Caenorhabditis elegans: one gene and its partners. The protein of the gene in region 1 interacts with the protein of each later gene in a pairwise test. Each region holds a gene or a part of one and is shown in the gene's direction. Other genes may lie near its edges.

Region 1 (9,893 bases):
GCGTAAAAATTAAAATATTTGTATATTTAAAAACTTCAAAAAAATGACGTCAATTTTTTTTTCCTAAAATTTTTTCTAAATCTTGATTTAAAAAAAAACTCACTTTATTGAAATCTAAAAAAATATAATCATTTCACAAATTTTCAATTTGTTTGGTTGTGCGTTGTGTTGAAGGTGTGCTAATATGAGTAAGGTGTGTCAATTATAGGCTAGTAGGTATGCAGGCAGGTTTTTCATTCTAGGAAGGTGCAGTTGGGTCGAGTAAAAAAGGAGAGAATCGTCATGACAAGCTACTCGCTCCCGGGGTCCCACTGGCTCAGGATGAGCGGACTGAAAAGAATCAACTGAGAAGCGGAAAAAGTGCGCCAATATATGTTCAAGTCAATAAGAAGAAAGCTACGAAACTAGCTCAGCCGGTTCCAGTAGCTCAGGATAGGAAGAAGAAGAAGAAGCCGAGAAGTGAGTTGAATATGTAATTTTTTTATATATTTTTTTTAATTTTCAGAAGTCCGCGACGATGACACCCTTTCAGACGTAATTATATTGGTTGAGGCTCACATCTCTCATAGTGTCCCATTTCGGTTTGATCTACGTAGATCTACAAAAAATGCGGGAGAAGAGACGCAGAGTTCTCAACTGATTTTGTATGGTTAAGAACGTGCTCACGTGCTCACACATGCTCAGAGAACTTTTGAGCAAAAAAATCCCGCATTTTTTGTAGATCAAACCGTGATGGGACAGCTGGGCACCTTTAAATTCAATTTCTTGTTTTTTTTCAGATTTCCGATGAGATGCCCCAAAGGGTAGCCCCTCTGGAAATCCCGAAACCATCCTATACGGATGAACATCTCAAGTGGCTGATCCTTTGGAAAATTATTGATTCTTTGGAATATTATAAAAAAGATTTTGAATAAAGCACATTAGATTCCCGCCCGCAAATTGTCTGTCGCTACATGTAGCCCGCTTTTACAGAAAACTATAAAGTCGGCAAAGTGCGCTCTATCGACTAATTTTGAATAACTGAGTCGCACGTGGTGTCAGGCCGTCCCATGTCGGTTTGATCTACTTAGATCTACGAGAATGCTGTGTGACACCGAGTTGTTCGACCAAAATATTATTAACTAGCAAATATATCATCTTTTCTAGATTTGTAGAATCCTAGAATCCAAAGCACTCCTAAAACTAAAAATTTAGCAGTTACACATTTTCCTGAAGTTTTCTTTTCTGGAGCCGTTCTCAAATTACTGCAACTTTCCAGAATTTTCCAGAAATTCGCTCTTTTTTCTCAAAAAATTTGAAAAATTTTAATAAAAAGTTTACCGATCCAATGAAAGCTTAAATCCCTAGCCTGTTAATCAAATCTAATTTGATAATGACAGCTTCATCATCCTCTCTCTCTCCCTGTCCTCTCCGCGCGCAAAAAAAGATGTTTTCCCACCAGCGCGCGGGCGCCTCCGCTGCTGTCGAAATTGCCATTTTTGTAGGTCTGCGTCTCTTGGGATCAGTATGCTACCTGCAATTGGGAGTTTAAGGCACGCGCGTTCCGCAAATGTTTGCTAAACGGCGCGGCGGAGAGAGGGAGAGAGAGAGAGAGATGCCTGACCTCGGTGGACAAATAGTGAGAGGGATGAAGAGAGAATGAGACAAAAACAGTTCCCTCTTCTTTTTCACCCCAAAGACGGTGGGCTAGCCAGCAACCGGCTAAATGAATTTCTTTCCGGCTTTTGGGTTTTTTACCTAATATTTTGTATTTTCATAGTTCTTATTATACAATTTTCGCCAAAGATAGAAAATGTAGTTTTCCTTTTAGGTCCCCCAATTTTAGATTATACTACTACTTTGGAACATAGTTTTTAGGCCTTTTTTAAAAGATTTTTTAGCTTTGGCTGAAAAACTCCTGGAACTGGGAATTTTGGCCCAGAAAATTGTGACGTCAACACGTTCTTAACCGTGCGACAACAGTTGGCGCATTTTTTGTAGATCACACCGTTATGGGACACTCTGACACCTTGTCGGAATATTGTTAGCCTAAAAAACTTTGATCCCTAAATTTTGTTGCTCACTTTATTCGAGAGAAATTTCAGTTTAAATTCTAGGCACTGAAATTATAATAGTTCTCGATTAATACTATGAGTTCCTTTCCTGCTTTATTGTAACCTTTTAGCTTGAAATTTTACTTTAAAAACTGAATTTTCTACTCTAGAAGATTGATATATTGAAAAAGTTGTAACTCATATATTATAATTTAGTGCCAATTTTACGGTCAAATTTTTTGATTTTTATTAGCTGACAACTTTTCATATTTTTCAGGATAAAATAGATATAGTAGTAGTCCAGAAAGTTATTTTTATGGCTCCTAGAAATCCATACAACTCTTTATTGGGGCTAGATGTCAAAAAGTTGTCAACTAAAAAAATGTAGCAAATTTTATGCGTAATGTATTGTTAGTTGACAACTTTTTTATATTTATTAATCTGAAGGTGTTATAGTCGATTTAATACAGCTAGTTAGTCCTAGCTTGCCCCTGAAACCCCATAACGAAGAAATATAAGAAAATTTCGCATTAAGTATTTTATTGGTTCACAAGTTTTGTGTTATTTCTTTTTTGAAACTAGTCCAAAATTATTTTTACTTGACTGATCATCTTAAAAATTTTTGCAAGTTTTCTTGGGCCCTTTTTTTTAATCGCTTACAAAGAAATGCTCCAGGCTCCTTTAAATTGTGCAGCAGACATTTATCGCTGCATTTTTCCAAATTCCCACCTAAAGTTTCGCTAAAAATGAATTTTCTGGATTTATAAACCCTGTAGCTCCCCAGCGTGTCAAGTAGTCAGAAAGTTTTTAACTGATAAAACGAAGTAAGCTTTGAAATCTACAATTTTTTAGTTGACCACTTTTTGATATATATATATCAAAAAATAGATTGACATACCAAAAAATAGATTGGCATATCAAAAAATAAATTGGCATATCAAAAAACAAATTGGCATATCAAAAAACAAATTGGCATATATATATATATATATATTTAAACGATTCATGGCAGTTTAACGCCCACACCTATTTTGCCCTGGCTCCTGGAAACCCCTATAACTATAACTTTAATTGGTGCTAGTGTCTATCAAAATGTTGTCAACTCACAAGTTGTAGTAAATTTAATTTTTTTGATCTACAATTTGCTAATTGACAATTTTAAAACGCTATATTTTGTCCAGCGAACCCTAATGAACCAGAACTATCTAAATTTCTTCCAGAACCTCCCAAATCAAAAAACTGACGACACCAGGATCGTCCGTTCCTCCCCATGGGATCCTGTATTGGAAAAGAGGATCCACCGCCTGGTGCAACGTCACCAGTCCACACGTCATCCACGTTGGGAAGGGAGTCACTGCCAAGTCATCCACGAATTCCGTCCATCGGTCCGATTGCGGCGTCTTCCAGTGGAAATACGATTGATAAAAATCAGAATATCTCGCAATCTGCGAATTTTGTCGCTTTATTCCAATATGATGCACGGACAGATGATGATTTGAGTTTTAAGAAGGATGATGTTAGTTTTTTATTTTATTTTTTGAAACTCCATATCTCATTCTTTCAGATCCTTGAAATTCTAAATGATACCCAAGGAGACTGGTGGTTCGCCAGGCACAAGGCAACTGGACGGACTGGGTATATCCCGTCGAATTATGTTGCCAGGGAGAAAAGTATCGAGTCACAGCCGTAAGTTTTTTTTTTTTTGAATTTTTAGCCAGCCTAGGGAGAGAGGCCGGACTTGAACTTGTGACCTCCAGATTGCTGGTGGTTACCACTACCTACTGAGCTATCCAGCGCCTCTTTGTTAGTTGTCACAGGGGCTTGATCAGGTGTAACTAAAACTGTCATAACTCCTTTGGCTTGTGAGATACAAAAAAATTGTCAACTAGCACATTGTAGAGCAGAAAATTTCCTACATTTTGTTAGTTTAAACTTTTTTGATAGCTAGCACCAGTGAAGAGTTATAGCACTTTAGAGGTGTCAGCGGGGAATCAGAGCAGGCGTAGAAATGGTTCAACTCTTTAAGTGTATTTTTACCGGCAAAAGTTGTCAACTGACAAAATGTTAATTGTAAAATTTACTACATTTTCGTATTTTGAACCTTTTCAGTAACTTAATGTTTGTAGAGTTACATAGCTTTAACGAAATTTTGAAAAAAATAACATTTTTACGAAACTTAGAAAAATTCCAACTCACATTAAAACCTTAAAACTCGAATAATTTTGTAGTTCACTGGTAGTAGTACCTAAAATCAAGTACTTAATATTCCCTATATTTTGTTAGTTGGCGACTTTTTAATATTATAGCTAACACCATTAAAAAGTTATAGGGATTTCTAGAAGAAATCCGTGTAGGCCTTAAAACTATGATAACTTTTTAAAATTGATTGATATCAAAAAGTTGGCAACTAGCAAACTGTAGAACATAAAATTTGCTACAATTTAATAGTTGACAACTTTTTAATAGCTTGCTTTATTGCAGAGTTACAGGGATTCAAAAAATAAGATTTTAAAAATCCGAAAATCTAAATTTTTACAAATTTCCAGGTGGTACTTTGGAAAAATGCGGCGAATCGATGCGGAAAAATGTCTATTGCACACTTTAAATGAGCACGGAGCATTTTTAGTGAGAGATTCCGAAAGTCGACAGCATGATTTATCATTATCAGGTCAGTGAACTTTTAAGGGCGCCCCATAGGGCACATGGCGGGCGAAAACCGGTTTTCTGGGAGAGATAATCAAGGTCGGATACAACAAAATGAGAAAGGCGCGGTGACAGTAAGAGGCAGAAAAGAGGTTATCCCCGCTCGCCCCGACCTTTTATGATTCCGAAAGTAATGGGAATTTGGGAGAAAGGAGGCAAATTGGGAGATTTTGATGGGTTTAGATGGGTAATTTGGGATGGGGGAATTTAGATGGAAACTGTCAAAAATAGATGGAATATACATAGATGTTTATTTAATTTTTAAAACTTTTTTTAAAAAATTCGAAAAATCATTTTCGATTTTTTTAAAAAAATTTTATTGAATTTTTTGCCAATAATTTTCTAATTTTTTAATAAATGTTTTTTGAAAAACTGATAGATTTCATTTTTTCTGAAAGTATTACAAAAAGTTTTTATCTTTATTTTCAATTTTACAATTCTGAAAAATTATAAAAAAATATGTATTTCGTGCTTTGTAGTTTGTAGTTTGTAGTTTGTAGTGTGTAGTTTGTAGTTTGTAGTTTGTAGTTTGTAGAAAACCTTTCAAAGCTCTTTTGAGAGTTACCAAAAAACGTTTTTTTGGGAATTTTGAATTTTTCAAATTTATAATATTTCAGTATTTTTTTTTCCTTTGTAACATTCCAAAAACTGTCAAAAAAAAAACAAACTCATCAAATTCCAAGTTTTCTTAAATTTGAAGATTGTAGTTTGTAGTCCAAAATCCCCCTATTAATCCCAATTTTCTTGCAGTCCGAGAGAACGACAGCGTAAAGCACTACCGTATCCGTCAACTGGACCACGGCGGGTATTTTATCGCCCGGAGGCGCCCGTTTGCCACGTTACACGACCTGATTGCACATTACCAACGAGAAGCCGATGGTCTTTGTGTGAATCTGGGAGCTCCTTGTGCCAAGTCAGAAGCCCCACAGACAACGACATTCACATATGGTAAGCTGGAAGTTTTTATGCCTGACAGGTGCCTACATCTGCCTAGATGCCTACTAGATACCTCGGTGCCTACTACATGCCTAGATACCTTTTTCATGCCTAGATACCTACGACATGCCTAGATACCTACTACGTGCCTAGATACCTACTACATACCTAGGTAACTGCTTGATGTCTAGATGCCTACTACATGTTTAGATACCAACTATATACCTAGGTAACTTATTGATGTCTAGATGCCTACCAAATGCCTTGATGCCTACTACGTGCCTATTAACCTACTACATTCCCAGATACCTACTGCATGTCTAGATACCTACTACGTGTCTAGATGCCTACCTGATACCTAGGTGCTTACTTAATGCCTAGATTCTTACCAAATGCCTAGATACCTACTACGTGCCTAGATACCTACTACTTGCCTAGATACCTACTACATACCTTGATACCTACTACATGCTTAGATACCTACTACAAACCTAGGTAAATCCAGTAGGCAAAAGGCGAACCTAATTCAGGCCAAAGTTGACTTAAAGGTAGGCAGGCATTATTGTGCCTACCTACTAGGCCAAACAATTCCAGGGACCCACAAGGCGCCCAGTTACCTTTAAAAATGTTCAAAATTCCCATTCCAGATGACCAATGGGAAGTGGACCGCCGTTCGGTTCGTCTCATTCGACAAATTGGAGCCGGGCAGTTTGGAGAGGTAAGCATCATCATTCTCTTTCGGTTGTTTGCTTATTCACGTTGCCTGCCTGCCCGCCAGCCCCACAGCCCGCCAAATAGTGTGCACAGGCTCATCCTCCTCCTCCTCCTCCTGTTGCCTATTCCGTTCGTGTTTGATGTATATTTGTGTGTGTGTGTGTGTGTGTGTGTGTGTGTGTATAGAGAATTGATGGAGAACGAGATAAACAGGAGAAGATATGCTAATTGAGTGGGGGTAAGGAGATGATCTTAGGGGAAAATTGCAGGGGGGGGGGGGGGGGGGTGGGTCCCCGATGCACCATGTGTAGCCCCAAATTACAATTGTTAGGGTAGAGCCTGAAAAATTTTAGGTTTTTTTGTAAAAAAAACCCCAAAAAATCGCATGAGCAAGAATTTTTCTTGATATTTCTAGGCGCACGGGGTTCTGGCCTTCCTTATTGATTTTTTCGCGCTCCATTGACCTGGACAACGCGTGGGAAAATCGTGCACTCCACACGGACAACTACAACAAGTTTTAAAACTAAAATCGAGCCGCGACGCGACACGCAACGCGCCGTAATTCTACCCCAGATATGGCCGATCCAAAATGGCCTTGTTCGGCAAACTCTTCCATCTCAATTTATGAGGGGAGCCAGAAATCCGTGTAGGCGCTACTTTACACTCAAAATAAAAAAAAACTGCGTGGCGTGTACTGCAGAAAACCTAATATTTAGGCCCCGCCTTTCTCTCGTCCACTTACGGAGAAACGGCAAAAATTTTGACCCCAACCAATATCAGGCCGCCAACATCTCACGGGTTCCGCGCGTCGCTGCGTTTAACTCGCAGCGGGCGGAGACAGCTCGTCACGCCCACAGCAAGTTAAACGCAGCGGCGCGCGAAACCCGTGAGATGTCGGCGGCCTGATATTGGTTAGGGTCAATATTTTTGCCTTTTCTCCGTGAGCGGACGAGAAAAAGGCGGGGCCTAAATATTAGTTTTTTATTTTGAGTGTAACTCCCAGAAACCTCTCAGCCTATGGACTAAAAAACTTCAGGCTTTTATTTTTCCGTGTTTTTCTTAATCCAGGGGCTTTTAGTGTAGATCCTAAAACAACCGGATAAAACGGTTTCCCCTTTTTCTATTGACTTTTCCATCTCCTGATCCGAGCAGCTACAGCCGCCAATATTGAAACAGATAGGACCGGTTTGAAACATGATATCACTCCCCTACAAACATCAGTTCCGCTAGGAGATCTCATAAAACGAAGGGATCTGGAACATAGAGATTTACCACTAGGGTTATAAGGAAATGTCGATGCACCATGAGTAAAAACTCAACCTCGAATATAGATAGCAAGGCCCTAAAATGAATGACAAATGTTCTCATTAGAGCGCACTTAAATTTGCAAGCATGAACGAAAATATGAGTTTTGTAAGAAATTTAATCTATGAAGCTTCAAAACCATGCGAAAAATGGCTAAACATACGAAAATTCTTACTACAGCTTACTAAAGTGTGTGTTTGAACTTTGAACTTTTTACCTAACCCCGCCCCCCCCCCCCTTATGCTTGCATGTTTAAGTGCGCTCTAGTGAGAACATTTGTCATTTTTTAATTAGAGCGCACTTGCAAATCAGCTTGCAGATCCTGGATGTACTACATAAACCATCAATTTCCAGGTATGGGAAGGCCGATGGAATGTGAACGTCCCCGTCGCTGTGAAAAAGCTAAAGGCCGGAACCGCAGATCCTACGGATTTCCTAGCCGAGGCACAGATTATGAAGAAGCTCCGGCATCCGAAGCTTCTGTCCCTGTATGCAGTCTGCACACGTGATGAGCCGATTCTTATAGTCACCGAGCTAATGCAGGAGAATCTGCTCACATTCTTACAGCGACGAGGTCGGCAGTGTCAGATGCCTCAGCTGGTGGAGATCTCGGCGCAGGTGAGGTTCACGTTCGGATTCCTCGAAATTAAAAAAAAATTTCAAAAAAAGTTTTGCAGGTTGCCGCTGGAATGGCCTACCTAGAGGAGATGAATTTCATCCATCGAGACCTAGCAGCACGAAACATCCTTATCAACAACTCCCTATCTGTAAAAATCGCAGATTTCGGGTTAGCCAGGATATTGATGAAGGAGAACGAGTACGAAGCAAGAACCGGAGCACGGTTTCCGATAAAATGGACGGCGCCCGAGGCGGCGAACTATAATCGATTCACAACCAAGTCGGATGTCTGGAGTTTTGGAATCCTGCTCACCGAGATTGTCACGTTCGGACGGTTACCCTATCCAGGTGAGGATTTGAACCGACCCGTTTGATCTACACGAATTGCGGAAATTTAGGCGCAGACTTTTCAACTGATTTCGCATGGTTAAGAGTGTGCTGACGTCACCATTTTCTGGGAGAAAAATTCCCGCATTTTTTGTAGATCAAGCCGCAATGAGACAGCCTGACACAACGTAAGATGGTCTCATTGCCGCATGACCTCCAGAAGTGGCGGGAATTTGAATTAAAAATTTTGACGTCATATGAGCTTTTTTGAAAACTAACATCCCGCCTTTTATTGAGGTCAAATTATTTTTTTTACAAAATGGTACCAGTTCGCTAATTATAAAAATTAAGTCCCTTATTGAAGGGGCCTTGAAAATTTCGCAAAACTTTGGGAATAGGTCGCGTCAACTAAAATGTGGAATATTCCTGCGCCCTTCGCCGTTTGATCTCCGGGAATCGCGGAAAATTCAAATTTTGAAAAATGCGATGTAGCCTAAGTTTTACTGTAGAACGTGGTGTCAGAGTGTCCCATTTCGGTTTGATCTACGTAGATCTACAAAAAATGCGCGGAGTTGAGACGCAGAGTTCTAAAGTGATTTTTAGAACGAAAAACTCCCGCATTTTTTGTTGATCAAACCGTGTAGTACCCCAGAAACACGCCACACATTTCAAAAAAGAAATTTCCCGCCATTTCCGGAGGTCACACGAGCACATGGTGTCAGGCTGTCCCATTGCGGTTTGATCTACAAAAAAATGCGGTAATTTTTCCCTTAAAAGAATGTGACTTCAGCACGTTTATCAGTTGAAAAGTCTGCGTCTAAATGCCCGCAATTCTAGTAGATCTACGTAGATCAAACCGAAATGGGGCAGCCTGACACCACGTCTAGGTTACTAAACTGGTCCTTTACGAACCATTTGGGAATATGAAATGGCAAATTTAAAGCGAAAATCCCCCCGCAATTTATGTAGATCACACTACAATGACACCTCTTTACCATTTCCAGGTATGACAAACGCCGAAGTCCTACAACAAGTCGACGCCGGGTACCGTATGCCGTGCCCAGCCGGGTGCCCAGTCACCCTTTACGACATAATGCAACAGTGCTGGAGAAGCGACCCGGACAAACGGCCAACCTTTGAGACCCTCCAATGGAAGTTGGAGGATCTGTTCAATCTGGACTCTTCCGAGTATAAGGAGGCCAGCATAAATTTCTGAGAGAGAGAGAGAAACTTTTGGGTGCCTATATACAGCAGCTA
Region 2 (6,887 bases), on another chromosome or scaffold:
AAAATTAGTCTTGCATGCAAGACTAATAGAGGGTATCTGAAAATATATTACTTGAGTCTAAAAACCATCGGTAATTTTCCGGAGATTTTGAAATCCTAGAATACGTCGACTGAAAAGTTTTAAATATCTCTTTGAAATCTATCCATGCATTTTGTTTGCTAACCGCCAAACCTTATCCCGATGTTTCTGGTTTGCACTAATTTCTATTCGACCCTCTCTCGTTTATCGTAAATCTCCGTCTTACGGGTCATATCTGCCTTCTTTATTTTCTTTCCAAAAGGGTTACTTTCTTGGAAAATGAGATGAAAATAGACCTCATTTCCATTTTCTACTAAACTTCTACAGTCCGTTCTGGCAATGGCCATTGTGACTATTCATCCAATTCGCGACTTTTCAAACTGTTATGAGTAGTAATCGGGCATTCCGCCATCGTTTTCACAACTGTTTTCCGATTTTCTTTTGTTGGACTTGAGAATTGGAATTCAATTCTTTCACACAAGACATTGTCACTTTTGCAACGTTCGGTTCCACTTTTTTATCATAATAACTATAATCAATCATAGTAAATGTTTGCAAGCTTCTGTTATTAGGATGGTTTTTTGTCGCAGATTTTTTTGCTTATTATAAAGGTACATATCACTAGCATTAATAATGAAAATTTTTTAACTTGATTTTGAGGTTGTTATGTTTTATTGTAAAATCAAAATATTTTTAACTAACTCATTTTAGCACTGCTGAATAATTAATAAGTACAACTATTTAACAGATTTTTTTTGAGTCACAATCCGGGATGGACGGCATTCTAAAATGTTGGGCATTTCGGATGTTTCGGCAGATGTTGAGTTTTAAAAATTGTGGCAATCGGTTTTTTCGGCAATTGCCGTCTACCCCTTATGAAAATATTTATTTCAAAATGTACCTGTTACAAAAATGCCACTTTCAAAAAAATTCTCTATTAAATTTTTTTTTCGATAAAAATTTACGAGGTTTGATGTAAATTATTATTAGTAGTAATAGATATCTTTTGGAAAATTTAATATGTAGTGCAATCATTCTCCAATCTCGGTAATATTGACTTATTTAATATTTTGCCTTAATTTAGCCACCAATATTAGACAATATTATTTCAAACGTCCTGAATGAAATCATCATTCGGAAGTGATCTAATCCATTTAACAAATAAATATTTATATCTAAAGCTTTTCGCCCGTCATCCTATCATCGCCTTTTTCGTCCTTTTCCCTATAATCAGACTATCGGTGAACGAGGAGAGAAATGTCAATAAACAAATTGATTAATCATCTTTGACAGGTGCCGGTGACCGGAAAATCCGTCATATCATAGTGTGAGGCAATCCGTTTTGAAAAAAATTCTATTGTGTTTGCAAAGTTAAACAGTTTTCAATATTCGTGTAATCTTAATTTTTTGTTTAGTGAGATTCATTTAAAAAAAGTAGTTCGAAATTTCAACGTTCCTCTAGATTCCTGACCACTTTCATTCTTAAACCGAATTATAACACATAACATCATGCACAAACATTATCATAATCTGTTGTATTTCCATCTTTATTTCTTATCACTTTTCGCATCTGTAGTTCGTTACAATTTTACGAGTTCTCGCTCATTCTCACTCCCGACTATCTTTCATTCCATTCCTCTCGATATTTATATTCATAATAAATAAATGCACTATAAATTTCTCCATCATCATTTTGCCTAGATTAATTCAACAATTGCATTTGGAGAGTAGCATATGTTTTCAGAATTTGTTCAAAATCACCTAGAATTCATCAATCAAGTCTGGAGTTTAAAAAAAAACCTAAGCTTTTATCCTCATCTTTTCACAAAACATCATCATTAACCGTTACTAAAGTATGCAACTATTAATCTGCTACTGCTTGTTGTTGTTTTGTATACATATCATGTTGTATTACATGTTGCTGGTCGACATCTCCTGTGAATTTAGTTTTACATTTTATTAGTTTTTTTGCACCTCTGAATACTATATTTTTATCATTAATAAAATAATATAATATCTAAATTCAAACAAATTCGAATTGTTTCTGTGCCAAAAACTATTCACGTTATGAATTGGTAACACTGAAAACTTCAGATGATGTTTTTAAAATATTTTTTTTTAAATATTTTTAAACTCAAAATTGGAACTATTTCAATTTCAGGGGTGCGCGACATTTGGTAATTTTGAAAACATTGGAAATAAAAATTACAGGAATTGCCGGATTTTGTTGGCAATCTTGTAACCTAACAAATTTAAGCTTGAAATGTCATGTGTATTTTAGTAGAGTTTTTTTGTCATCCGTTTGCTTGAGATAATTCAAAAATTTTAGAATTTGAGATACTTTTTTTTTCCAATTCCCGCGCACCTCTGTAGATCACAAAACTTGTTTTGTAATTAACTTTGTCATTTTATTAAAAGAATGTAACTTCTATATGAAGAGTATTTATTGTATTTAACAAAGAAATACGAATAATTTTGATTTTCTAACCAAGCCCAATGTTTTACTAGCTTGAAGTTTGATGTAACTCCATTATTGCACAGTAATCTGTGGTGTGAAACTGGCACGTATGTATGATTGAAATCACTAGAGAGATAAAAGAAGATAAAAGATTTTGCAAAAGTGGTTTAGTGCGGCACAAGCAATTGTTATGCGCTACCAACTTGTCTTCGTGTTCGCCAGAACTCACGAGCAAACACCACACTCTCTTCTCTTCTTGACAGTACAAAGAAATTGGCACATAATAGAAACCTGAGAGCTCTTTACTTCTTCCGTAGCACATCCTTCTTTTGTTTTTCGCTCATTTTCGTGTGTGTTATTCTCCCATCATCGTATTTTTTCACTACATATGCATAAAGTTGTTGATACATCATAGTCTGAATCATGGAACATCTCGTGGTCGCACATGTCTCCTTCTTCAAATTTTTTATTCAACAAAACAATGATTTCAAATTGTTGTATAAAAAACTAACCAAGCCTTTTTAAATTGCTAAGTTTCCGTTCAACAATTCATGTTCCTATTGAATCATTTTTTATTGTTGAAACCCATTATTCTACATTCAGCAATATGTAGGCAATTTGATTGAAATTCTATCCGCTTTTCCAAAAAGGAATGATGAAAATTTTAAAGGTTTTTTTTTCAGAATTGTATGGACATAGAAAATCTACAATCGTCAAACAACAGGTCACAGAAAAGTCGTCCTCCGGACGGCTTCAACGCCATCTTACAGACAGCATTTTCTGCTATTTTGGTGAGTATTTTTGCCATAATTTTAATACAAGTTAATACTAAATTAAAAATACTCCTATTAAATTTTTTAACTTAAAGGTAAAGTTAGGCCAAAACGAGATTTTCATTCGAGAAGAGATATTCATTCAGATTTCGCGCCTTTCTCGAAAATTGTCAAAATTCGTAAATATTGGATAATAATTAAAAAAATTTTTGAAGTTTCACGATGATTTTTTTTCAGTCCATCTTTATATTTATATCACATCCCTCTATATGATATTGAATCTGACATATGTTTTCTTTAAAATAAGCGTTCAGCCTGAGACCCTTCCCTCTCTCAATTATAATAAGAACAAAAGGGTATCAAAAATGCGGATCTTTTTCTTTAAATCGTGTCAAATTTCTCACAGTTTCCCGTGTTATTTCCAAGCATATTCTTCTTTTTACACCGGGCTTTCCGCTCTCAGAATTTATTAAATTCAAAATGTTTCGCGTATGGGTGGCAGCAAAAGCGTGCAATTGTGGATCTCGTACATTCGCTTGCAGACATGACCACCACACTTCCACTTTTTTCTAATAATCATTGCATTTCGGATACTAATTGCGTCTTGTGGTTGTCGGGTGGCCCTTCAACCGTCTCATTACATAAGGGCCTTCGTTCCGATAACTTTTTGCCCTTTTGGCGATCTGAAAACTGAGAGGAAAGAGGAAAACTAGTCCAGTAGATACACTATCCATTCATTAGAGAAAATTTGAATTCTTGACGCCTTCACCATTCCATTTCAATTCCCACACACCTTCTTACAACAATTCACCAATTAATTTGCTTTCTGAATTCAGGCGTTTGTCCTCTCTCTACGTATAATTGTGTTCGCCACGGCCCGGAAACGACTTACCACCACGGCGGCAAATCCGGATATTCAGGTTGAGGAGGCGTCGTCTTCCTCATCCGATACCAGCTCCGACACCGAAATTGTAGAAGAGGGTGTATTTATACAGGTGAGACCTTTTCTTGATTGTTTTTTCTTTTCACAAGACATTATCAATTTTTTATACTTTTGCCGTATAGGTTAAAAACTGAGTTTTAACATTTAACGTCTTGAAAGCGGAATTTTGTTTTCATTCACATATGAATAATTGTCAAACACGATTAAATATCGTAATTACACACATTTTAAGTTTTCATGTTCTTCGGAAGAATTATTTTCGGGAGAATAAGAATTATTTTTGAAAAAATGTCTTGCTTTCAAATAATTTCTCAATTATTTTGGGCATTACTGGAGATTTGAACACAACAATGTATATATAAAAATAATATGAATCTCCTTAATGTGTAAAACTGACAGGACATGTATTTTTTGGTTGACTTCCAAATGATTTATTGAAACTAAGTAAATGTTACTTTGTTTTGATTTTGTGTGTGATTTAAAAATTATATACATTTTTGATATGTTTGTTGGCTATTTTCGGATAGTGTAAATGTCTTGATCATATTAATATGCTAGGGATACCCCACATTCGAACAGTTCCAGATGATATTGAATGAAGATAATTTTAATAATAGTGGTAACGGAATAGAATGTATACATTGTAAAATTATACAACTTTTGAGCAAAAATTCACAATTAATTTACTCACAACACATGTGTTATTCAAAATTGTACGTGAAGCAATAAATCAAAAATTTAATTATAAAAGTGTCAAAATTATTATTTCTTTCCTGAAATTTATCTAATAACCATGTCTTGATTATGAGTCACTGACTAGAAATTTGCTTATTTTTAGTTTAATTTACGTTACCTACCTTAGTATTCAGTTCTTAATTCGCATCTTTTCCCAATTCCACTTGGCCAATTTTCTTCAAATTACCAATTCTGAACCATCTAACTCAACTCATCAAATCTCGACTCATTCATTCCACCAGACTCTAGCAACCTTATTAAAACTGTTCAATTGTTCCGTTGGAGATGTCAAGAGGGGCAGAAAACAGAGAGGGTCACAGACGTTTGCCCTTCCTCCAAATCGTCTTGGCCACTAACCTCTGTCGTGTTTTTTAATGTGCTACTACCTGGCTTCTTATGTGGTATTTGTGGTGTATATGTTGAATTTGTGTTATACTTTTACTTTTCTATATTCACGAGTTTTATACAGTTTAGAATTTATTTGTTCAACTAAAAATCTGCAAATGTCTCGATTGTAATTACTTAGTATACTTAGTAGGTTTAACGAACTTGAACTTTTTAATTTTTACTTATATTTGTAGTGAATTGATTATTGTAGGGATTATTCGTGTTTTAAATTTGAAAAAAAAAACACTTGTACCCTCTTGCTCCACCTTGGCAGTACTTGGGTAATTTTTGTTTTTATCAAAAAAAAATAAAATAGTCAAAATAGTCAACTAAGAAATATTAAATTCAACATAATTTTTTTCTTTGATAAACCCAAGGAGAACCGAAGTGTAAGCCGACAACTCAATAGTGAAAGTGAATTTTACTTTTACATAATTTTCCTTAGTGAAACTAAGTTGCGGAAAATTTTCTCAAACGATGCCAACTGGGAAAAGTCGAGTAAAAAGATACTGCCGTGCACTGCACGGTATACAAAAAGGAGATGCACCAACCTCAGCCACCTTGTCAATACACACAAATATGCATATACGTACCAGCTAACGCATATAAAAAGCCCTGTTTATTCAGATGATTCACACAAAACAACCCCGCCAGCTCTTCTGCCTTTTTGCCCCTTTTTCTTTTTTCTCTGTACATCGTTGTGTTCATATAATACAATATGTTTGATTTTTTGACTTTTGCATCCATCTCTATTCCTCTTCAAGTCACCAATCTTTCGCACTTTTTGTTTTTTCTTTATGTCTCGGGATTTCTTCATTTTCTGGTCATTTGTCATCAAATCATTGTACCGTCACTACCAATTAGTCATCATATCCGTTCAGTGTACAACGTTCCGTTCACTCCGAAAAGGTAGATTAATCCAAACCGCCTGTCAATCAAATTGTAGAGCCTACAACTATGATCTTACGCAGATTTCATTTCGTTTGTGTTTCTCCTTATACAATTTTCAATGCCATCACCATCACACCTTCTGATTTATGAGGTTCTGTATAGAGCGAAAGAATTGAAGGTTAACACTTACTATTAGATAAAAAGTGGAATAAAAACCAAAATCAAAACCAATATCTAAGGTTGAAAAATAAATAAAAAATTGGATAGGTAGAGCGGTGAGCTCTTTTCCCCCGTTTGTGCAAATCTCGGTCTCGACATCTATTTGATTGTTTGCACAATGTTTTTTTTCCAGTATTATCTTCTCTTTCATTCCACTTCCCGCTTTTTAGATGATACTTTTGACCATTTCATGTAGCCGCTTTCTTTTTTGTCTATTTAAAAACAAAGTATTCTAGTTTTAGTTTTTAGTTCATGGTTTTATTTATATTAGGTGTTCCAAATTGAAGAAACTGTTTTATTGAGAATTGTTATAGTATGTTCCATTGTCAATCAAATGTTTTGGCATTTTGATTAGAATCAAAATTGTTTTTTTTTATTGAAACAATATTTTTAAAACTTTTTAATTTATTACGCTCTCTCGGAGATGTAAAAAATACACAATAAAAATAGGAAAATTTGAAAA
Region 3 (6,882 bases), on another chromosome or scaffold:
TGAGTGTGAAAATTTATAAAAACTCGGTGCGTATATGGACTATTAATTAAATGTTGCACTTTATTCTGCCAAATTTATTTACAGTACAAAGACGCAACATCACTTATGCATGCAGAGAATGAGAACAAAAGCAGCTCTTCAAAATTGCACTGGATTCTTGTAGACATCGCATGGAGCTCGAAGCATCAGTGGCTTTCTGGTGATGTGGCAGACACTATTAGATGCAAACGTCGTGTTGTAAACTGCCAGCAGAGCAATGAGAAAAACAACTGAAAAAGTGATCATTAGTATGAAAACCAGAAAACGTAACGAACGTCTTTTCACATAGATTGAACACAATATTCTCAAGTTTCTATTAAAGTATGTTTTATGACACATTTATCCAAATTCCTTTGAAAAAGTAAAAATATTTTATTATCAACAAATATAAAGCTATTTTTGCACGAATAAAAGTTAAGAGACACGATAAGTTATTTCATGAACTTGAAGTTTTTTGGCATTGATAACAACTTTTCAATTCGCTGTTTTCCCCGTGATTACATTTTTTCTCTATTTGTGATGGGCATTCTCGGTAATAATGTCCACGGAATCCACATTTGAAACATGCTTTAGGTTGTTCTTCAGGGCAATCACGAGACATATGACCAAGTTTGTGGCAGTTGTAGCATATACCTGTAAGAAACAAGTAACTTAATTATTATGCCATATAAAGTTTAAACTTTGTTCCAAATTGTGCATGCTTGAGGTTTCAGAACTGTCAGTGGGTTCTTGAAATTTACAGCAATTGTTATGGGGCATGACTGAAAATTCGGAATATTGATAGTGAGTCACAAATATTTACAGGTAAAGTAGCTCTAACTAAATAATACGGTAAAACTTTTCAAAATTAATTTTTAAAAATTTTGGCATTAATAAGTGACTGAACATTTTTGGCAGTTTGCCAAAACTTTTACTGTGAATTTTCACATTTCTGGAAAATGTAAAAATTCTTTATTAATAATAAATATAATACTATTTTCTAGCAAATGAAAAGTTATCTGTTTAGATATATAATTGTACATATTTGGTAATCAAGAAAATGTTGAAATATTTCTTGCGAAACCTCTCTGACCATGTGCCAAGAGAATTAGACACACTGGCAAAAAGAAACGCGGCAGTTTGAATTTAATATTTTTTTTGTATTCAGTTTCCGTCCTACCTGGCTAGATAATATATTTTTCACTTCTATATTAATAGTTTTTCTCCAAGTTAGTTTTTCAATTAATTTTTTTTAAAATCCTATTTCTCTCTTCAAATTCTAAGTATTTTATCTCAAACTCCTTTTAAAAAGCGACTACTGGAGACTTTAAGATGAGCCCCGGTTATTATTATCGCTACGAGACCCATCTGAATGAATCCGTGCGTCTTTAAGTTCACATTATAGTATTATGGTTCCAAACTTAAGGCCACACAATAGTTCAACACACGTCATTTCTAGCTAAAAAATATTATCTTGAATAACTCAATGTTCAATAGGAGAGACGAAAAGATAATTTAATGTATTTTCTGTTGATACTTTTAACTATTAATTTTGTTTATTAAATGTGATAACTTCCACTATTCCATAAGATGGATTCAGTTACATTTTTATTGCATTCAATTGTTGTTTATATTGGTGCGCAAGTCCAATCGAATGCGTTGTCCGTCTATCCTCAAGAGAACCGGTCTTTCCGTTTCCTCGACTTTTATCGATTTTTGCATTGAACTGCGTGTTCGGTTTGATTTAAAAAAGGTTCTGTATTTTTTAATTTATATTTTAAATTTGAATTTTCAAAAAACTTTCCAGCTACATTTCGAGTTCTCGTCTTCTTCAAAATGTCCAATCTTTTTGACAAATAAACTCATGTGCCTGGACCGCACTCAAACAAACGTACATGCAATCTGAATGTTACATCTTTTCTTTATTTATCTCAAAAAATTTGTATTTACCCAAATACTCATTTAAATAGCCACAACATTTTTAGTCATGTTGGTACCCTTGAAAAGGTTGCTCTAAACTTTAAATTGTCAATTTGAAGCTCTATTTGAGATGGGGTGGGCTCTGGGAATCTTGTTATCTGCTCACTGGGTTTTTGTCGGTTTTCTTTCATTCTAAAGCAATTCTGGATATTTTTGAAATTTTGATTTCTGAAAACTTTCCACTTTCCACTTTCCACTAACTACTATCTTTTTTCTTCGTTTTATTTCAAAAAGAAAGAAATAAAGCGAAAAATTATGTTAACCTGTCGCTAAATATCGGAAAATCTCATATTGGCTGGGTACCGCCACGCGATGTATAATTAAAATAAAATTTTAGTGTGTGCGCCTTTAAATGTTACTGTAGAATTTTAACAATGTTTTTTTAACTATAAAAACAATTAATTTTGAGTTAAATAACAAAATAATGGAACATTTTAAAAAAATTAGAAGACACAATAATTTTCTTTCCGCAAATAAAATCGAAGAAAACAAGCCTAGAAATTGTACAGTAACAGGCGCAGACACCAAAACTTTATTTCCAGCGCGCGCGGCGAGACCCATCCGCAGACATGCACCTCCCTTGAAACATGTTTGAATTTTTATTTTTGTTTTGTTTCATTTAAATGCATTTTTGAACATTTTCAGCGATTTTTAAAGATTTTTTCGTCGTAAATTCCGTAATAAATTTTTCAGAAACATGCTCAACCTTTGCCTACATTTTTTCGCATAAAATTTACCATTTTTGAAGAGAATCGCAATTTTAAATGGCATTTGCAACATAAACTATCTGCTCCGCAAGCCTCTTATCATTTTCCCTCGCTTTCTGTAAATAATTGTGTCAAAGCTCTCGTTCTCTCATTCTCTTTCGAAAACGTTCTCTGTCATTTGCTTGCTCGATGTTTTATTTTTCGGCAAAAAAAACCTAGCGCGCAAGGAAAACCCGAGGTCAAAACCAAAAATATTATTCAACACCAAATAGGTATATGATGCGGAAGTCTAATAATTGTTTGGACAACGTCCTTTTCTATTTGCTCACCGAAACGTAACACTGAGCTTCGCGCGCGCGCTTCGTCCACCGCTCTCCACTTATAGTACGAATCTTTATTTCATTTATTGAAATGTTGTCGTTCGTCAAACGTTCTAAACAACCCGCATATTTCAGAATGCCCGGCGAATTTGCAAAGTTTCCGGAGCAATCAGGTATTTTACGAAATAATAATAATTTTTTTTAAAACTATGTTTTTAATTTCAGCTGGATCTCATCAATTTCGTAACCCACTCGATGAACTTACGGGATCAAATACAATAACAAATTTAACTGCACACGATTTTGATTATTTTACACAGTCCGAGAAAAATTCAAATTTATATACAAGTGAAAATACAAGCAATTCTAACAGATTAAATCTCGTAAGTAACATTATTCTTGCTAAATCGATTTTTAAAAATTCGTTTTTTTTTTCAGAATCAAAATATACCGGTCGGCACATTAATAGATGGATTTGAGCTTATTAATGAAGCTTCTGGCTCCGGCTTTTTAGATGATCAATTAGTGGATGTTAGCGATTATAGCCGAGATAGGACGACGAAGCTGGATAGGAATAGGAATTCTCCCGAGCTAATAGTTGCTCTTTTGCAACGAAAAGTTCAAGGAATTCGATTTTCATCGAATTATGGAAGAGAGGAAGAACCATGTGTTATTGAGGTGATTGAAGTGGATTTAAATGAGGAAAATGAGCCAAAAAGACCGAATAGCGATAGTTTTCGGGGAAAAAAACAGAATTTCATCTAAAATCGCCAATTCTCCGTGTCGTAGCTGCCGAAATTTGATTTTTATTTATTTTTTGTCATCTTTAAGTTTTTTAAACGCTTTTTTTGTTGATTTAGGTAATTTTTGAGCCGATAATCGATTGATCAACGGAGAAACAACCAAAATATGAGAAAAAAATCCGGCCGACACTCAAAAGCGTGCATAATTTGATGTTTTAGCTGAAATCATGTTTTTGTAAAGCATTTTGGAGAAGTTTCGTTATGAAATTTGGTCTTTTGCTTATTTTTTCCACAATTAAACATTTTTAATTTTATTTTCTATTTTCAGATCCCACCAGGAACAATGGTTCGCGAAATGGCAGATGATGATTGGAAAATGTCTGAATTAAAAGAATGGTTCACAAAATCAAGAGCTTCTTCGCATTTACGTGATGGATTAGCAATGCCCATGGAGGTATCGTAATTACCCTGATTTTTGCGGCTAAAACTACGGTAGCGGGTCTCGACGCGACAAATTTAAAAGAACTGTAATTCAAAATTTTCGTTCCCGGCGAATTTTCATTGAATTTGTATAGTTTTTCTCCAGAATTCTTGTTTTTTTTTTTGAAAAAACGATTAAAAAATCGATAAAAATTCCAAAAATTTGTCGTTTCGAGATCGGCTACCGTATTTTTGGCACAAAATTTTTCGTCAAATTAATGCCTTTTCAGTTTCTCAATTTTTTTAAATTTCAGGAACTCGACTGCACTCCTCTGATTTGTGCAATGATTACCAGATCCGATGTAATGAGAATAAACCAAGATCAAGCAATGTATATTTATTATCTTTATAAATAAAATTTTTTCCCTTTTCAGACATCTTCTGGCTGTCAGTGTAGAGAAACGAATAGAAGTTTATCAAAATTTCGAATGGTTCAATTTCATTCTGAATCTGAAAATTGGCGATTCTGTTTCTGTGGAAGTGGTAAGTATTTGAAATTATATGTTTCTCAAAGGAATCTAGTTTTTAACCAAAAAAAAAGAAAAATAAAACAACGAATTCAAAATAAAGAGACGCAGACGAGAAATGGGCGTCTCCTTGTATTCAGAATTAGACTGTCACACGTGACTGATTGAAATTCCGATGGCATGACTAACTTATAAGTTTCTTGAAAATAATATAATGGGATAGGAATTAATGGCCCACGAGTCACATTTTTTGCTAGGCCTCTGTAAATTCCGCTCTGACAAAGTCAATTTTCCGGCTTTAATTAAAAAAAAAAACGAATTTTTTTGAAAATCGAAAAAAAATTGGAGTCTCTTGCTCGAATAATGAAATTTTTTTGTTTTTTCGAATGAAATAGTGATTGTGCCTCATCTTAAATAGTTTACTAGTGTCCAAAAAATCGAGAAATTTTCGTTTTTATTTTTTATTCTCAAACTCTCGATTTATATTTATCTCTTCTGGTCCGGGAAAAAATTAAATCCGGGAAAATTTCAAATGTACAAAAAAAATACATCCACATAGATTATGATACTTCTGATAAAGGGTGTCGTTTTTCGGTTTTTCCAAAATAGAAAAATTGGAAATCGAAAAACAAAAATTCTCGATTTTTCGAATTTTTAAAAATTTCGGAAAATCGAAAAATCAAAAAGACAATTTTTTTTCAGAAAATTAACCATAAAATATGATTTTTAAAGTTTAATTTCGTTTACATTGTTGAGAAAAAAACAAAACAATTTATTCTAAAATGAAGAACAATGAACAAAATTTTAAAGCTAATTTTAGAAAAATCGAAAAATGAAATAGAGAACCGGTTCACGATATCATTGACACTGACCGAAATATGTTTTATTGAACAACATCGAGAGGGATTAAGCATACAGTCGGCAGAAAATTGAGAAATTCTTTCAGTTTTAATTTTAATTTGAATCAGAAGCAAGGGCGTCGGGTTTTCAATTTTTGAAAAAACTAAAAATCGAAAAATCGAAAACTTTTTAGAAAAATCGAAAAATGAAAAGTTTTCGATTTTTCGATTTTTAGTTTTTTCAAAAATTGAAAACCCGACGCCCTTGCTTCTGATTCAAATTAAAATTAAAACTGAAAGAATTTCTCAATTTTCTGCCGACTGTATGCTTAATCCCTCTCGATGTTGTTCAATAAAACATATTTCGGTCAGTGTCAATGATATCGTGAACCGGTTCTCTATTTAGTTCTTTCTCTCTCTCTTTTCAACACAAAAAACATAGAGTTCCTCTTTCTCTGTGTGAAAGTATAAGTTATCCTCTTCTCTCTCTCTCTCTCTCTCTCTCTAACAAACTATTTGCCTGTTTAGTTGTTTCTTTCTTTCCTCTTCATCGTCTCAACCAACTTGTTTCTCATTTCATTGGCGACGCCCTTCCTTCTCCCAATTTGTTGTCATCGAACTTGAATTGATTGAAACAAAATCAGTTGGACAAACTTTTTTTGGTGATATTTTTCTTCTTTTTTTTGTCTGATGCACAATGATGTTTTGTTCGTTGGCTGACGCATTCGCTGCCCCGTTTTCAATTTCAGTTCCATTTTTTTTCATCCCTTTTCCATACAATCATTGCCTACCTACCTTTTTTCGTGACGCAGAAAAATAATAGAACATTTTTTGGTGTGTTTAAAAACCTATGGTGGTTCAAAAATTCCTTTAAAAATTTGTTAATTTTAGCTAGAATCAATCTCCAATTTTTCGTGTCTCAGCAGTCTTAAATTTTAAAACGATATGAACTCTTTGACCATTTGCGCTACAGTAGTCATTTCAAAAACTACTGTAGTTTTCGCTACGAGATATTTTACGCGTCAAATATATTGCCAAATCCGCATTTTCAGAATTAAATAATATAGTGAAACTGCCTCAAAACCAGCGAATTTCATAATAATAATTCTTGAAAAAATTTTAAAAATTCATAGTAAAGCACAAGAACCATTAGTTCCTTTTTTTAATTTTGAGCTCTTTTTTTCTGAAAACTTCAATATAATTTATTTTCAGGACGAAACAATGCGACGGGTTCCAGCAAAAGTGTCGTGGATCGGTGAGAGACCGGAAGCATCAGGAATATGGTATAATGTGGACTTTGACGGGAACACTTCTCAGGTTAGTTAGCT

What was found.
Region 2: the proteins of src-2 (region 1) and ajm-1 interact in a two-hybrid assay, tested with the Caenorhabditis elegans proteins (one large-scale study listed by BioGRID).
Region 3: the proteins of src-2 (region 1) and cyld-1 interact in a two-hybrid assay, tested with the Caenorhabditis elegans proteins (one large-scale study listed by BioGRID).

The regions. Positions count from the first base shown.
Region 1 is NC_003279.8:14,318,984-14,328,876, forward strand, and holds the start of src-2 (Tyrosine protein-kinase src-2), read left to right. Parts: upstream 1-3,253; 5' UTR 3,254-3,303; coding exon 3,304-3,549; intron 3,550-3,597; coding exon 3,598-3,719; intron 3,720-4,579; coding exon 4,580-4,701; intron 4,702-5,486; coding exon 5,487-5,684; intron 5,685-6,319; coding exon 6,320-6,390; intron 6,391-8,045; coding exon 8,046-8,309; intron 8,310-8,368; coding exon 8,369-8,657; intron 8,658-9,640; coding exon 9,641-9,852; 3' UTR 9,853-9,893. Other genes in the region: F49B2.9 (uncharacterized protein), read left to right, coding at 185-193, 243-459, 506-534, 780-914. UniProt on the Caenorhabditis elegans protein: Non-receptor tyrosine-protein kinase which may play a role in larval and pharynx development. Unlike src-1, does not play a role in embryonic development.
Region 2 is NC_003284.9:9,079,818-9,086,704, forward strand, and holds the start of ajm-1 (Apical junction molecule ajm-1), read left to right. Parts: upstream 1-3,165; coding exon 3,166-3,267; intron 3,268-4,085; coding exon 4,086-4,244; intron 4,245-5,451; exon of another isoform or gene 5,452-5,654; intron 5,655-5,870; exon of another isoform or gene 5,871-6,012; intron 6,013-6,215; exon of another isoform or gene 6,216-6,406; intron 6,407-6,468; exon of another isoform or gene 6,469-6,616; intron 6,617-6,887.
Region 3 is NC_003281.10:9,906,937-9,913,818, reverse strand, and holds the start of cyld-1 (ubiquitinyl hydrolase 1), read left to right. Parts: upstream 1-3,160; 5' UTR 3,161-3,161; coding exon 3,162-3,198; intron 3,199-3,250; coding exon 3,251-3,408; intron 3,409-3,463; coding exon 3,464-3,703; intron 3,704-4,096; coding exon 4,097-4,222; intron 4,223-4,502; coding exon 4,503-4,579; intron 4,580-4,622; coding exon 4,623-4,731; intron 4,732-6,766; coding exon 6,767-6,871; intron 6,872-6,882. Other genes in the region: F40F12.9 (CCHC-type domain-containing protein), read right to left, coding at 139-269, 541-672, 720-798.